Rattus norvegicus: one gene and its partners. The protein of the gene in region 1 purifies or fractionates together with the protein of each later gene. This does not show direct contact. Links are inferred from orthologs where the notes say so. Each region holds a gene or a part of one and is shown in the gene's direction. Other genes may lie near its edges.

Evidence for each region.
Region 2: the proteins of Rbx1 (region 1) and Klhdc3 purify together in Homo sapiens (affinity purification with mass spectrometry; 3 studies listed by BioGRID and IntAct, with this or other methods). This does not show direct contact. The link is inferred for Rattus norvegicus from reciprocal best matches to the Homo sapiens genes RBX1 and KLHDC3.
Region 3: the proteins of Rbx1 (region 1) and Fbxo7 purify together in Homo sapiens (affinity purification with mass spectrometry; 5 studies listed by BioGRID and IntAct, with this or other methods). This does not show direct contact. The link is inferred for Rattus norvegicus from reciprocal best matches to the Homo sapiens genes RBX1 and FBXO7.

The regions. Positions count from the first base shown.
Region 1 is NC_086025.1:114,869,307-114,873,925, forward strand, and holds the start of Rbx1 (E3 ubiquitin-protein ligase RBX1), read left to right. Parts: upstream 1-1,672; 5' UTR 1,673-1,677; coding exon 1,678-1,755; intron 1,756-4,232; coding exon 4,233-4,311; intron 4,312-4,619. UniProt on the Homo sapiens protein: E3 ubiquitin ligase component of multiple cullin-RING-based E3 ubiquitin-protein ligase (CRLs) complexes which mediate the ubiquitination and subsequent proteasomal degradation of target proteins, including proteins involved in cell cycle progression, signal transduction, transcription and transcription-coupled nucleotide excision repair.
Region 2 is NC_086027.1:21,798,333-21,802,887, forward strand, and holds the start of Klhdc3 (kelch domain-containing protein 3), read left to right. Parts: upstream 1-1,672; 5' UTR 1,673-1,753; intron 1,754-3,221; exon of another isoform or gene 3,222-3,235; 5' UTR 3,236-3,387; intron 3,388-3,922; 5' UTR 3,923-3,981; coding exon 3,982-4,135; intron 4,136-4,312; coding exon 4,313-4,489; intron 4,490-4,555. Other genes in the region: Mea1 (male-enhanced antigen 1), read right to left, coding at 391-493, 575-844. UniProt on the Homo sapiens protein: Substrate-recognition component of a Cul2-RING (CRL2) E3 ubiquitin-protein ligase complex of the DesCEND (destruction via C-end degrons) pathway, which recognizes a C-degron located at the extreme C terminus of target proteins, leading to their ubiquitination and degradation.
Region 3 is NC_086025.1:19,722,298-19,727,026, reverse strand, and holds the start of Fbxo7 (F-box only protein 7), read left to right. Parts: upstream 1-1,846; 5' UTR 1,847-1,879; coding exon 1,880-2,001; exon of another isoform or gene 2,002-2,149; coding exon of another isoform or gene 2,150-2,186; intron 2,187-2,244; exon of another isoform or gene 2,245-2,418; intron 2,419-4,249; coding exon 4,250-4,544; intron 4,545-4,729. UniProt on the Homo sapiens protein: Substrate recognition component of a SCF (SKP1-CUL1-F-box protein) E3 ubiquitin-protein ligase complex which mediates the ubiquitination and subsequent proteasomal degradation of target proteins and plays a role in several biological processes such as cell cycle, cell proliferation, or maintenance of chromosome stability.

The DNA.
Region 1 (4,619 bases):
GCTCCGGAAAAAAAAAAACAAAAAACAAAAAAAACAAAAACAGGACCAGAGTAGCTGAGCATGCTGGCTCCCTCCCTCTAACCCCCCCCCCCCAGCACCTGGGAGGTGGAGGTAACAGAATTGCTCAGATTTTTTTTTTAAACATTTATTTATTCATTATATATAAGTACACAACACTGTAGCTGTCTTCAGATACACCAAAAGAGGGCATCGGATCTCTTTACAGATGGTTGTGAGCCACCATGTGGTCGCTGGGAATTGAACTCATAACCTCTGGAAGAGCAGTTGGGTGCTCTTAACCGCTGAGCCATCTCTCTAGCCCCAATTGCTCAGATTTTAAGGACAGCCTGGGCTACAGAGTGAGGCCCTGTCTCAGAAATAATAATAATAAACAATAATAGTAAAACAAAAATTAAAAGACCAAGTAGCATGCTCAAGATAGTTGTTGAAGAATGGATAACTATGCCCTCAGTATCTTAATTAACTATGGGTTTCTAGCATCCCTTAGGGAGTCTATTGACACATAAATCAATGACGATTTTAGTGTGGGAGGTAGAACTTGGGCCAACACACACACTCCTTGCAGGCTGTAGCAAGTCTTCTTTGTGCAAGTTAAAACTGTGGTGGTGTTTCCGGATGTATTGCCCTGCTCAGCAAGGACATCAACAGCACACTGAATTGCACGCCAGTATTTCTTTCAAGTGGGCATTTCAGATAAAACGTCATTGTTGTCCTGTTGAGGGAACTAGAACACATAAGAAGTTCGAGGGTGATGTATTCTAGTCATACCTCTGCAAATTTAGGAGATAAAACAGTGGAGGGCTGGGCTAAACATGGAAGCATGACAAAAGATACAGGTTCTTAGCTCGGTGGTAATGACCGGTAAGAAAATCAGAATGCCTCACCCAAATTCAAGTTTGGCCACTACAAATGTACTAATTTAACTGTAGCACAAGTAGCAAAACTCGGATGGGAAATGGGGAGAAAGGAGGATGGCATCTCCCAGGCTCCTACGTGTTCTCCGTGTCTTTCTGGTGAGAAGGTGAAGGCAGAGCTGCAGAATGCCTGCTCTGTTTGTTCCTGGGCAGAACATTCAGGCCTCTCTCTCCCTATCAAATAATTTCCCAAACTGAAGTTGAGAACGCAGACCGTGCCCGGGCCTTGGAAAGCCGAGTCACAGGGCCCCCAAGCCGGCCACGGTCAGCAGAAGGCCGTTTTGAACGTTTTGGAGTTTCGGGTTTCCACAGACCAGCCCATGCCCTTTGCACCGCGGCCTTGGGGGCAGCGCTGTGGGTCTGGATCAGGTATAAATTCTGGGGCAGAAGGAGGAAGCAGCCGCCGCCCCAGAAGAAGGAGTCAGGCCACAGGGTTTCCCAGAAGGCGAGCAGTATTCAGACCTCAGGGACATTCCCACCAGTTGGCTCCCTTCGCTCGGCCCCGCCCGGCTCCGCCCGGCCCCGCCCGACCCCGCCTCAATCACTCCAGCCTCCTCCCCAGCTGAGAGCGACGGGGAACCTCCGCCTGCGCCTTTAAGGGGCGTGACCGCAGCCTCCGCCCCTTCTACCCGCACGCGCCAATAAGGGGAGGGGTGCGAGAGGAGGAGCCTGGCGAGAGGGCAGGCGGCGGAAAGTGAGCCGATGCGCAGGCGCAGTGGTCGCACGACAGTGTGTTTCCAAAATGGCGGCGGCGATGGATGTGGATACCCCCAGCGGCACCAACAGCGGCGCGGGCAAGAAGCGCTTTGAAGTTAAAAAGGTTGGGTCTCGCCAGCGCCTTCCTCAAGGAATCTAGGGAGGCGCGGATATGGCTGGCAGGCCCGAGGAAGAGCTAGGCGCGGGGGAAAGGGCTTCATTTCAGGGCGTTCCTGGGACCGGGTACCACTAAAGGAAGCCGGGGGGCGGGCCTAGGGTTGATCGGCATGATGGTGGCCCACTGTCTTGGCCATATTAGTTTCGCTGGGAAAGCTGTGGGTCCAATCGCAGAGCTGCTTACTGAAATACGCGAGGTTAACTTCGGTGCGGGAGCCAAGCGCTTAAGCTGTCACTGAAGTGACTGAGAGTTGGGGGAAGGACAGGGTGGGGTGGGTAGGATGGAGACTCGTGAAGAGACTGCGGCGGGTGGAGGATGGGGCTGTGCGGAGAAACCCGGGAACGTGCGATGACACCGCAGAAGAGCTCTGCCGGTGTTCTTGCTCCGCCCCTTCCTGGATCCTAGAATCTATTGACTCCGAGGGACCTGGTGTGGGCCCTCGATTGTATGGCGGCCTCCATTAGCCTTCTAAACCCACAGTCTCAAGTGTAAAGCTTGGTTCTTCCGAGACGTGTACTAGTTGTCACATAGCTTCTGCCACTCCAATGGTTCTCTAATGCCCGTGTACACTTCTAACACAAAATGGTAATTTAAAAAGTCTGGTGGGCTTTGTTTTAAAAGCAAGCCCAGAACTTGTGCCATTTAAGAAGGCGGAGTACTAATTGTTAATGACCTGGGAACACAAAAAATATGAAACGTCCTTTTGTATTCTATTCCCTTCATAGTTTTCTAGCACTTTAAGAGAAAAGTGCCCGTTCCTACCTAAGATTACATAAATCTGCTCAAAATGAAGATCTTGAAGTGGGGAAGGTGTTTTTGGTTTTTTGTTGGTTTGTTTGGGGTTTTTTTTCCTTTTTGTTTTTGTTTTTTTTTTTTTTGTATGTATTACTTTTGGAAAGAGTCGCTGAGAACACCTCCCCACCCCACTCTTTTTTTGTCATCTCATTGTGGCCACTGCTGCTCAGTTACGGCCTGCAGCCATATGGAAGAATAATAGAAATAATGTCGAATTTACTAGACTCGAATACTTGAATTTGAGAAGTCAAACCAAAGTAGTCCTTGAAAGGGGTGTCCTAGGGGTTGGGGATTTAGCTCAGTGGTAGAGCGCTTGTCTAGCAAGCGCAAGGCCCTGGGTTCGGTCCCCAGCTCCAGAAAAAAAGAAAAAAGAAAAAAAAAAAAGAAAGAAAGGGGTGTCCTGCCCAGTGTAAGTCTTGGATCAATTTACTAGAACTAGCAAAATAATAGTTTGGACATATGAACGTTGGGAACATCAGTTTCCTTGGTAAGAGGACAAGAAAATTGCACTGGATTGACTTGCTTGCAGTGCTGTGAGGTGTAAGTGATGACCTTGTTCTGTGTGCTGACACTGGGTAGGTAACTCACTATCCAGCTTATCCCACGATTATCCCCTTAGCGATTGATCCATTTATTATCGTAGTTCAGTCTGTTCACCTCTCTTCCTCCGAGTCCAAAACTGCGTGGAGAGCAAATACTTAGGCAGATTTTGAGTTCGACCACATCTGTCAGGAACAGCTCCACATTAGTTCAAGTTTGTACTTGAAGCTAAAATGGGTGTTCAAAAAATAGCTCTAATATTCCCACGTCGGTTTGGCTAGCTAAATTATTTTATGCTATAGACCAAAAAAAAAAAAATTGGCGCGGTGGGGCTTGCCTTCCTCTTTCCGCCATCTTGGCGCCTTTGGAAGCCCACTGGGAACAGGACTTCTAAAAAAAACAAGTATGTCTGGAAGGCTGTGGTGCAAGGCCATTTTTGCTGGCTACAAGCCAGGCCTCCTGAACCAAAGAGAGTACACGGCTCTTCTTAAAATTGAAGGCGTTTGGGGTTGGGGATTTAGCTCAGTGGTAGAGCGCTTGCCTAAGAAGCGCAAGGTCCTGGGTTCGGTCCCCAGCTCCGAAAAAAAAAAAAAAATTGAAGGCGTTTATGCCCGAGATGAAACTGAGTTCTACTTAGGCAAGAGGTGTGCTTATGTGTACAAAGCAAAAAACAATACAGTGACTCCTGGAGGCAAACCAAACAAAACCAGAGTGATCTGGGGAAAAGTAACTCGGGCCCATGGAAACAGTGGCGTGGTTCGTGCCAAATTCCAAAGCAACCTTCCTGCAAAGGCCATTGGACACAGAATCCGTGTGATGCTGTACCCATCCCAGATTTAAACTAATGGAGAGTAAATAAATAAAAGTAAAAAAAAAAAAAAATTAAAAGTACCCATGTTCAGGAATGAGGAAGTGTACACGTGGTCTGCTGTTACCCTCTGATGTTGTACAAATAATGCAATCCAAAAATCATTCTTTCTTTGCTAGGCCCTATGGCCAGGGAGTTGGTAACTGAAGCCGCAGCTGAAATCCTAACGAGTCTGTTATGTTACCCAGAAAATGCATTGTTTCCCCTCTTCTCCTTGCAGTGGAATGCAGTAGCCCTCTGGGCCTGGGATATTGTGGTTGATAACTGTGCCATCTGCAGGAACCACATTATGGATCTTTGTAAGTAACTCGGGGCGGGTGGGAAGGCGTTGAGGAAGAGAGAAATGGCGGTCATCCTCGTGTGCCCAATTGTCTTCTTTACCAGTGAATACAAAGCAGGGTCAGAACCCGTAGGTACTTGAGTGTTTGAAGTAGATTGCATGTTGTTATTTTTGGAGACAGGGTTCTCTGTGTAACCCTAGCTGTGCTATAACTCAGTATGTAGACCAGGCTGGCCTTGAACTAGAGATCCCCTGCCTCTGCCTCCAGAGTTAAATTGTTTCTCTCTCTTTTTTTTTTTTTTTTTTTCCTTTTTTTTTTCCGGAGCT
Region 2 (4,555 bases), on another chromosome or scaffold:
CCAACGCAGCCAGGTCCACGTTACTGCCACAGCTACCCAGTCCCAAATCCAGTGGAATAGCATTTCACTTAGATTCTGAAGTCCACAAAATTTCAGTTAACAAAGTCCTTCTTAGGAATAAAGTGATCTGTTTTTTGGGGGTGGGGGTGGGAGTGGAGGTGGGGGTTGTATTTGTTTTTTTTTTTTTCAAGATAAGACTTCTCTTTGTAGAATTTGATCTGTAGACCCAGATGGCCTCAAACTCAGAGACCAACCTGCCTCTTGCCTCTGCCTCATGATTCTGGGATTAAAGGTGTCTACCACCATGCCCAGTTCTTACTGGTTCTAAGCCAATCCCTTTTCTTCATGATTATTCCTAAATGAAAGAATGAGTTTTGGTTTTTGTTTTACCTGGGTCCATGGGGATGGAGCTGTGGCTGCTCAATGCTGCAGCTCCCTCCTCATCTTCATCCTCACTCTCCAATGGTGGGTCTGGTAAGTGAAGCCCCAGGGCCTGCAGAACCAGAGGAGATAATGGGTCCAGCTTTTGGTACACTCCGTTTCACCTGCTTAGTAACAACTCCCTCTACCATACCTGGATCCGATCTTGGATGTCAGCAGCTCCATCTTCGCCCTCACCCACTGGTGCCAGTTCCACCTCTTCTTGTTCAGGGTCTTGATTGAGGGGCTGGTATGAGTAGCCTGCTGGGCCTGCTCCTGTTTCCTCCTGCTCTTCCTCGGGTTCTTCACTGCTCCAATCCCCAGTTCCTTCTGTAGGGCCCTGATGTGGCCCTAAGTCCTCAGTCTGATTGGGGAAGATACGCTCAGGGCCCATGGTGTCTCCCCCTAGAACTACTGCTGCCATCCGGGCAGGGGCTGCAAAGACAGAAAGGCAGGATAGGGACTGGGTGAGATCAGGTCTCCTTTCACGTTCAGACCACCCACTTCCTTCTCGCGGGTCTTGCATCTTCCTCCCCTCTGTCTCTCGCGCCTCCCCGTCTTAAGTTTGGGTTCTCATATTGAACTGGAGCACACTAGTCTTTAACTCGCCCGATTCCTAAATAAACAGACAACCGGAGGGCTTCACCTCTTCCTGTGAGACCCTTCCCAGAACCTCGCCCACTCACGCCACGCCCCTCCACCGCTAGGTCCCTAGACTACCCGCGATAGCGCGTCCCCGCCCCTTAGCCCCTCTATTCCGGGGGAGTGCAGTACCGCCTGACAAAAAAAACCTTCAGTCCCAGGGCTCCCCTTCAGTGGCCCCAGCTACAGCGTCCCCTACCCGCCCCCACTGATTCTCGGCGTTGGTTTTCCTCGCGCCTCACCCTCTCAGAGCCCACAGCCGGACCCGCACCTTCACTTCCGGCGGGGCAGGACGTGCTGGGGCTCTCTAGTCCTCCAGCCCCGCCCCGTGCCCGAGACTGACGCAAGCGAGGACGATTGCCCCGCCTCCGCCGTCCCCTGCCCGGACCACAAAGAACTACATTACCCAGTGACCCTTAGGCGCACGGCATGTTCTGGTCTTATGCGCATGCGCACAACAGGTCACGCCCACTCCCCCCTCTTTGGAGCCTGAGGTAATTTCTGGACTACAAATCCCTAAAGCTGTCGGGCCCAGAGTTCTCACTGCACGTGCGCGTCTCGCTGCTCGCCGGAAGGACGAAGTCTGGCAGTGTTTATCTCGTTGGGGACCGAGGAATCGGTTGGCGGGCAACGGGTTCTAGGCTGCTGGCAGCGCGAGGACCCGCGGCCCCACCCCGGCCCGGCCTGGCAGGTAGCCTGGGATGGGTTGAGGGATGAGGAAGATTGGAGGGGCTGGCGACGCCCATTGCCTCCCGCTGGGGTCGCGGGGGAGGGGACAAGAAGGATGAGATGGGGGTGGGGAGGAGCTAGAGGGATGCTGGGAAAGAGGAGTGTTAATGGGCCGAGAAAGGTTTGGGGAAAATAGCCTGGAGACGGGTGGGAGAGACCTGGTGGCTGGAGGAAGCGCTGAAAGAACTGGACGAGTGGGTTCTGAAGAGAATCAGGAAGCTGAGCATAATGGCAGGGGGAGGGGGCAGTGTCTGGCGTTGTGGGGGAGGGGCGACTGAGAAAGGTGGAATAAATCAGGGGTCCAGTCATATTCAGAGAGCACAGTTATGGTTGGAAGGGGATAATGAAGGGCTTTTTCCCCTTCGTGGACGTAGACGAGTTAGAGGGTCCCGATGTGGACCTTGGAATGGTGGGAGAAGGAAAAACAAGGAACTGCAAGGCTCTGGGGAGATTAAGAAGGGAAGGGACGCCAGCGGTGGGTTGAAAGTGGCAGGGAAGGGACGTGTACACCAAGGGGCTGGCGGTTGAAAATGGCCTAGTGGTAGAAAAATGCTGGAGACCCAGAGGTATCGTTTAACCCCCTGCCTTTGAGTTATCCCAATGAAGACGATGGGATTCTTTATTCGCCTCTCCCTGGGATAGTAGACTCATCTTTGTGCGTTTTCGTGTTATTGCACTTACCTTCAAGGGAGAGTAAAGGCTATGAAGGGAGATAATAGACTCCACTCCATCACATTCTTTCCTATTTTGTTTTAAGACAGGGTCTTGTAGCTCTGATTTGGAACTTACTGTATAGACCTGTGTGGCTGGCCTTGATTAACACAGACATCCCCCTGCCTCCATGCCCCACCACACCTGCCTGGGGACTTGGATTCTTAAAGCTTTCAATCCCCTTTCTCTGAGAAGCAGACCTAAGAGCAGGAGTAGTGAAGTGAGAGTTTAACTTTTGACTGCTATTTCAAGTTGAGAGAGATGGCTATTTAAAGCATACAGTGTAGGGTTGGGGGAAGTTGGGTGAAAGCCTTATCTGTCCTCTTTAAGGGGACTTCCTGTGCTTGAGGTGTCTCCCCTACCCCTGAGGTTTCTCCTCTCTGCCAAAGCTTTTTTGAACAGGAGGCAGATCACTCAAATCTAGCACATGTCTCCTGGCAAAGGCATCACTAATTGCAAAAAGATTTACCTGAAAGAACTCTCAAATGTACCCATTGTCACTAGGCTGGTAGGGTGTCTTTAAGAGGCCACAACTGCTCTCATGCTCGGGGTTTCTCTTGTCCTGCCCAAAGGCATTTCGGTCTACACCTTCACCCCATCCCTCCTTTAGAGACCCAAACAGGGGAAGGGCTGCTGGAAGTGGCCTGTTCTCTAACAGTAGTAGGGTTGGGGAAGTTGAAAGAACTCTTCCCTACCCCCAACTCCCAGTATACACATACCTTTCTGGCTTAAGTTTCTAGTCCTGGCAGCATACGAGCCACAGCTGTCAAAGGAACTCCTCGTGCCTGTAGACACCCTGGGTGACCCCCGGGACAACGGATCAGCTGACAAGAACGACCTGTGAGGGGCTAATCAACCATGGTTACATGGAGTTCTCTGTCCTAGGTAGGGACACTGATCCACCCTAAAAGCCTAGAAGCTTTTTTTTTTTAACTTTAAAGCACCCATGCCAGCTTTCAGTGGACCGTCTGTGGCTGGCTGGGCTATTAATAGCTGTGAGTATTTTGAGATCCCTACCTTTAAGAGATGGAGGGAAATTCTTAGAGAGGTGGCAGTAAACAGAGCCAGAAGCAAGAGCACACCCAGTATGGGAAAGGGGTTTGGAGACTGGGGGGCTTGGAGCTGTTCCAAGCCAGGAATGGGGTGGAGTTGGCAGGAGCAGGGGGGCAGTCATGATCACCATGATTCTGAGCTGGCAGTCAGGTTAAGGTGGCCCCACCCTTCACTGTGGGAGAACACAGGGCCAGGGCTAGCTCCTTGACCTCTGCAGCTCTCCTGGGGCAGGGCCAGCCACCTGAGCTGTGACTAGTGTTCCTGTAGAGGGGTGGTTTGGGAGGGCCACTGGGGTGGCACTTAGAGGCAAAGATTGGAACTGGACAGAGCCTCATCTGAGGAACCTGTGGCCCTAACTTGTGTACAGGTAGCAGAGGCAGCAGGCCGTGCCGGGGGGGCATGTTCATGTAACCTGTGGCCCAGGGGATGTTACGGTGGACAGTGCATCTGGAGGGCGGGCCACGCAGGGTGAACCATGCTGCAGTGGCTGTTGGGCACCGAGTATACTCCTTCGGGGGTTACTGTTCTGGTGAAGACTACGAAACACTACGGCAGATAGATGTGCACATTTTCAATGCTGGTAAGCCAGTCCTCCCACCTTTCTGGAGTCCCTGTATTGGGGGAGGTCGTGGGCACCTAAATGAAGTTCAGTGGTTGTCTGTATGTGTGGCAAAGGGGTTGGGTAAGAATGTTTGCTTTGGGACATGGTGGCAGCCTCAGAGGAGGTTCCCAGGGCTGAGCAGAGCTGTGTCCACAGTGTCCTTGCGTTGGACAAAGCTGCCCCCAGTGAGGCCTGCTGTCCGAGGGCAAGCTCCTGTTGTGCCCTATATGCGGTATGGACACTCGACCGTCCTCATTGATGACACGGTTTTCCTTTGGGGTGGGCGTAATGACACCGAAGGGGCCTGCAACGTACTCTATGCCTTTGATGTCAGTGAGTATGGATCTCAAATGACGCCTTGGGCCTGGGAAAGGGGTTGTTGTGGGGAGTGCTGGAGAA
Region 3 (4,729 bases), about 95 Mb from region 1:
ACTCATGCTTTTGGTTTGATATTCTTATACCGAAACGTTGGCTTGTAGCGAGAAATTAAAAGAAGTAAATATGTAACTTCTGAGGCTACGTCATAAAAGACTTCAGTTTGCTTTGGTTATGCTTGGGTTGCTTACTCTCAGGGAATCCAACTATCGTCCTGTTATGTGGACATTCAAGCAGATCTCTGGGGAAAAAAAAATCTGTGGCCGGTAGGGTGATATGTGTAGTAAATTCTGGCGGGAGACCCTGAGACAGAACTAACTACCTAACCACCCTACACCCAGGCTCCCAATCTACAGAATCTATGGGGCAACACATGTTTATCGATGCAGGCTAGTAAGCTTTGAAGGACATCAGATATGCGGCAAGAGGTTACTAATGCACCGTGCGACAACTGAAAGCTGTAACACGAAGGAGATAGAGGGGGTGGCTTCAAGTTTCTAAGAGCAGCGCCAAGGAAAAAATGCAGTAGGGATTGGTAATCCCACAGGAAAAAAGATCAGTCCTTCATGTCTGAGGAGAAAGACCATCAAACCCAGATCATCATGGCCATATTAATTAATGCAAGCTTATGTTTTGGTTTGTGAACATGGGCTGGACATAGGTAAGGTAAGGTTTTAATAGTTCAGGAGCAAGGGGGGTTTCCAGATGAGGATTTGGCAGGCGAATAGGCACTGATTACTGAAGCAGAACGCACGCACGCCAAGTTGGTCATGAAAACCTCTTGAAATGAAGACATGGTTTGCAAGGGGTTCACAGCGGGTTTGTCATAGCAACAGGTTGTCATAATAACCTTTTGTAATAAAGGCATGGGGCAGTACAGAGCCATTCGTAGTTATGTTTACAGGTGGGACATAGACCAATCCTTGAGAAGGAGAAATGTAATCATAAACAGGAATGGACCTAGTTTGCTTTTACTATAAGATGTCGTTTGAGCCTGAGATGAAGGCAGGCTGGTTTATCAAGATTTAACCTGGAAAGTGGAGAGCTATACTGTTGTGGCCTTCAAATCCATGGAGAGAGACCAAAGACTCAGGCTCAATTCAAATTTATATTAAGTGAGTTTATTCTTACTGCTAGCAGACGGCAGGCATCTTTAGAGCCAAAACAACATTCCATAGGGAGAAGGGGGGGGGCTAAGGATTAAGAGGGGGGTTTAAATTGGACATCAGAAAGGTGTATATTACAACTATTCACGAAATCCACAGCTGGGCAGGAAAACTGTTTTACTTTCCTCAATTGCTTCTTATCTTCCCTATGTAGTAATTAAAAGATCATTTCATCTGTTTCCCATAGCGATAGTGAGTTTTAAAGAAGCAAAGGCAGCTGTTAATACCTCACGGCCATTGTCCTATTCTTATCTCACCTGTAGGCCTCTAGGATCTCCCAGGCCGACAACAGCCCTTAAGGGATCCCTGGCTCCACATCCTTATCACCACAGGGGACCTATGTAAATTATAGGCAGGTCTGAGCACTAATGACCGGAATAGAACAGGCAAAACCAGGGCCATCAGGTTAGGGCGTCTGTCACGTCTGCACACTGTGGGCAGCGCTCGTTCCAGCGCTAAAGATCCTGCAAGCTGGGACCGAAAGAACGAACTCGCTCACCCGGGCGGAAGCGCACAGGGTGTAGCGTGGGCACTCGGCGCAAGGCAGCGAACTCAGCGCCTGCGCCGTGCGCGCCTCGCCCCCCAGGTGGCGCTGTCGCGCCCAGAGCCACCGATAGAGAAGCGCAGGCGCTCGGCACTCGGCTCGAGCAGAAGGCTCTAGGGGGCGTGGTGGAGAGAGCGGCGAGCTGGGATTCCTCAGGCGCGCAGGCCCGGAGCTACTTGCTTTCGGTTTCTCCCCGGGCCGACCGAGGCTTGCGGTCCGCTCACCATGAAGCTGCGCGTGCGGCTTCAAAAGCGGACCCAGCCGCTCGAGGTGCCGGAGTCGGAGCCGACGCTCGGGCAGCTGCGCGCGCACCTCATCCAGGACCTGCTGCCCACGTTGGGGTTCAGGTGAGCGGCGTCGCGGTCGCGGGGCTCGGGAATGGCGCGCGTCGGGCGGTCACATGAGGTCCGGGCCTCCGGGGCGTAGCTGGTCTAGACGCCTGTGACTGTGACGCTCGGCAGCTGAGTGCTGGCCGGGGTCTGGCTTTGGGAGACCATGGCCCAGCCTCCCCCTGGTGCCGCTGTCCACCATGGTGAGTAGTCACTTCCGGGTTGCTGTCACGGCCGCCCCGAGGGCGGGAGGGAAATTCGGGAAGCTTGGCTTGCGTTAAACCTCCCAGTGTAAACCCACTGTGGGTGGAATTTACCTTAGCGGTTAGGATACTTCAGTGGTTAAGTCGGGGAAAGCATCGTAGCTGAAGTGACAAACTTCTTGACATCCTACGTCGCTGTAATTTGTGCCACCGCCCAGGGCTACAGTAACAGGTGAGCGTGCATGTGCCAGACTGCACTTAACTGTAACTTTCTCACTGCAAGGTTTGGAAGTACGCATTCTTCGGGTCACTGGGCATTTTCTGGGTGAGAATGTTTGTTGCTTTTTCTCTAAAATAGAGGCTTGACCCTATAGAGCTTGCAGTTTTGTGGCAAGTTGAGAAAGGATTAGGTTCTATTACTAATTTATGGGGTTGCAGATGAAGCTTCTATGTTTCTGTAGAAGATATTTTCAGGACGTAGAGAGACAACTATATGGATGACCCATTTCAAGTGCTGAGCTAGAAATTTGAACTAGTGAAGAAAATAAAATTAGAAGATGGGCTCTGGTGCTTTTAAAGGGAAAAATGTTAAAAGAAAAACTCTTCCCGTTAATTGGCATTTTAAATAAGTCTTCCCCTTTTCACTTTATTTGTAGGGAATTAAGCAAAATGAAACTGATTAGATTGGTCACCCCCCCACCCCTCCCCATTAAGTAAGCCTGAGGTATACCTTTATTCTAGCGCTCTGGAGGAAGAGCTAGGTGTATCTTTGAGTTCATTCCGGACCAGCCAGTGTTACACAGTGAGACCCTGTCTAATAAAATAATGTTAGGCAAAATATTTTAAAAAGCCCTTTTTCACATTAAAAGAATTAAACAATGTATTCCCATATCGTATATTATATATATTTCCATATAATGGTGACCTACCTACATGTTACTCATTTGGTGTAAAACTGTTTTCTATGTTGATAACAATTGCCACTCCTCAGGCTTTGAGAATGCAATTTTTAAGGTATTTACAAATTGTATTACTTCTCAGTTAAGCTGGGCAGTTTTGAAAGGGTGTGAAACCCAGAAGCCCCTGTTAGTTTCTCTTGCCTGCTGTTTTCACAGTCGAGGTCGGTGTGAAAATCTGAAATTTTGCTCATTTGGGGTACAAAAGGGAAGCTTTAAAATGTGTCCATGTGACACACTTGTTGTTCTTAAAGAGTATTTTCTAAGTAAGCAAACCAAAGATTGGTATAAAACAGATTTTTTTTAAAGTTTGAAGCTTCCTCTTTCCTTTTTGTTTTTGTTTGGAGCTTCTAGAATTGCATTTTTTTTTGGGTGAAATTCCCCCAATGCCGGTGATTACAGAAAATAGGACCTTGGAAAAACATGCCAGAAAAGTGGGAGGGGAAGCTAGCATCTCTGTTAAACAGACGGCTCCTTATCTTGTCTACAGAAGGAATTGTTTGCTTGGGGACTGTCCCCTTTCCTGCCAAGGTTGACCTGGTGTTTTCATGGGCACTGGCAGATTTTCAGCTTCTTGCTGATCAGAACACTTTGCAAGCAGCAAGCAGAGCAGCTTACTGTCTGTGGAGTAGGAATAAATTTAACTCCAGTAACATCTTTAATTGATGAGAAAGGAAAGGATGCGTGTAAGAAAAAGGAATCGGGCTGGGGAGGTGGTGAAAGCTTTTGATGCCCAAGCCTGGCACCGGAGTTTGAAGTCCTCGCACTGATGGGAAGCCGGAAGTAAAGTGGTGTGTTAAGTTTAAGAAGCTCCTCGAGTTCAGCCATGTTGAAATACTGAAAAGTATATGCTCGAGGATCGATGAACATATGAATTAATGATAAGTATACCTTCCAGGCTATTGAAGTTTTAGTTAGAAGTCTGTGACCCAGGCATTTGATCAGAAGAACAAGTAATTTTGTCCCCTGCTTTCTTTCTTTCTTTCTTTTTTTTTTTATATTACATAGTGCTTTTGGGCACATAGCATGTACTTTAATGTATTCCAAATGCATTATTTGGAATATTGGTAGGTAGCTCTTACTATGCTCATCCGTCTTTCTTGGCAGTTCTGATACCCGATTTGCAATTACATTGAACAACAAGGATGCCCTCACTGGAGATGAAGAGACCTTGGCTTCATATGGGATTGTTTCTGGGGACTTGATATGTTTGGTTCTTGAAGATGAAATGCCGGCACCTAACTTACCTTCATCTACAGATTCAGAGCATTCCTCTCTCCAGAATAATGACCAACCTCCTTTGGCTGCCACCTCAAGCCAGGCTAACATCCCAGATGAACAAGGGAGTGATTCATCCCACGGACAGGTCACCCAATATGATGCCTGGACCGATGACAGTATGGTGGGTATTAAAGATGAAGAGATGGAATAGAGTAATTGATAAGGTATATTGACACTTCAGAGGAACTCCACACCGGTCAGGATGATTAGCATCAGTAAACTGTAGACTGCCCGTGGTGAACATGTTTGGTTTGGTTTGGTTTGGTTTGGTTTGGTTTGGTTTGTTGAGACAGGGTTTCTCTGTGG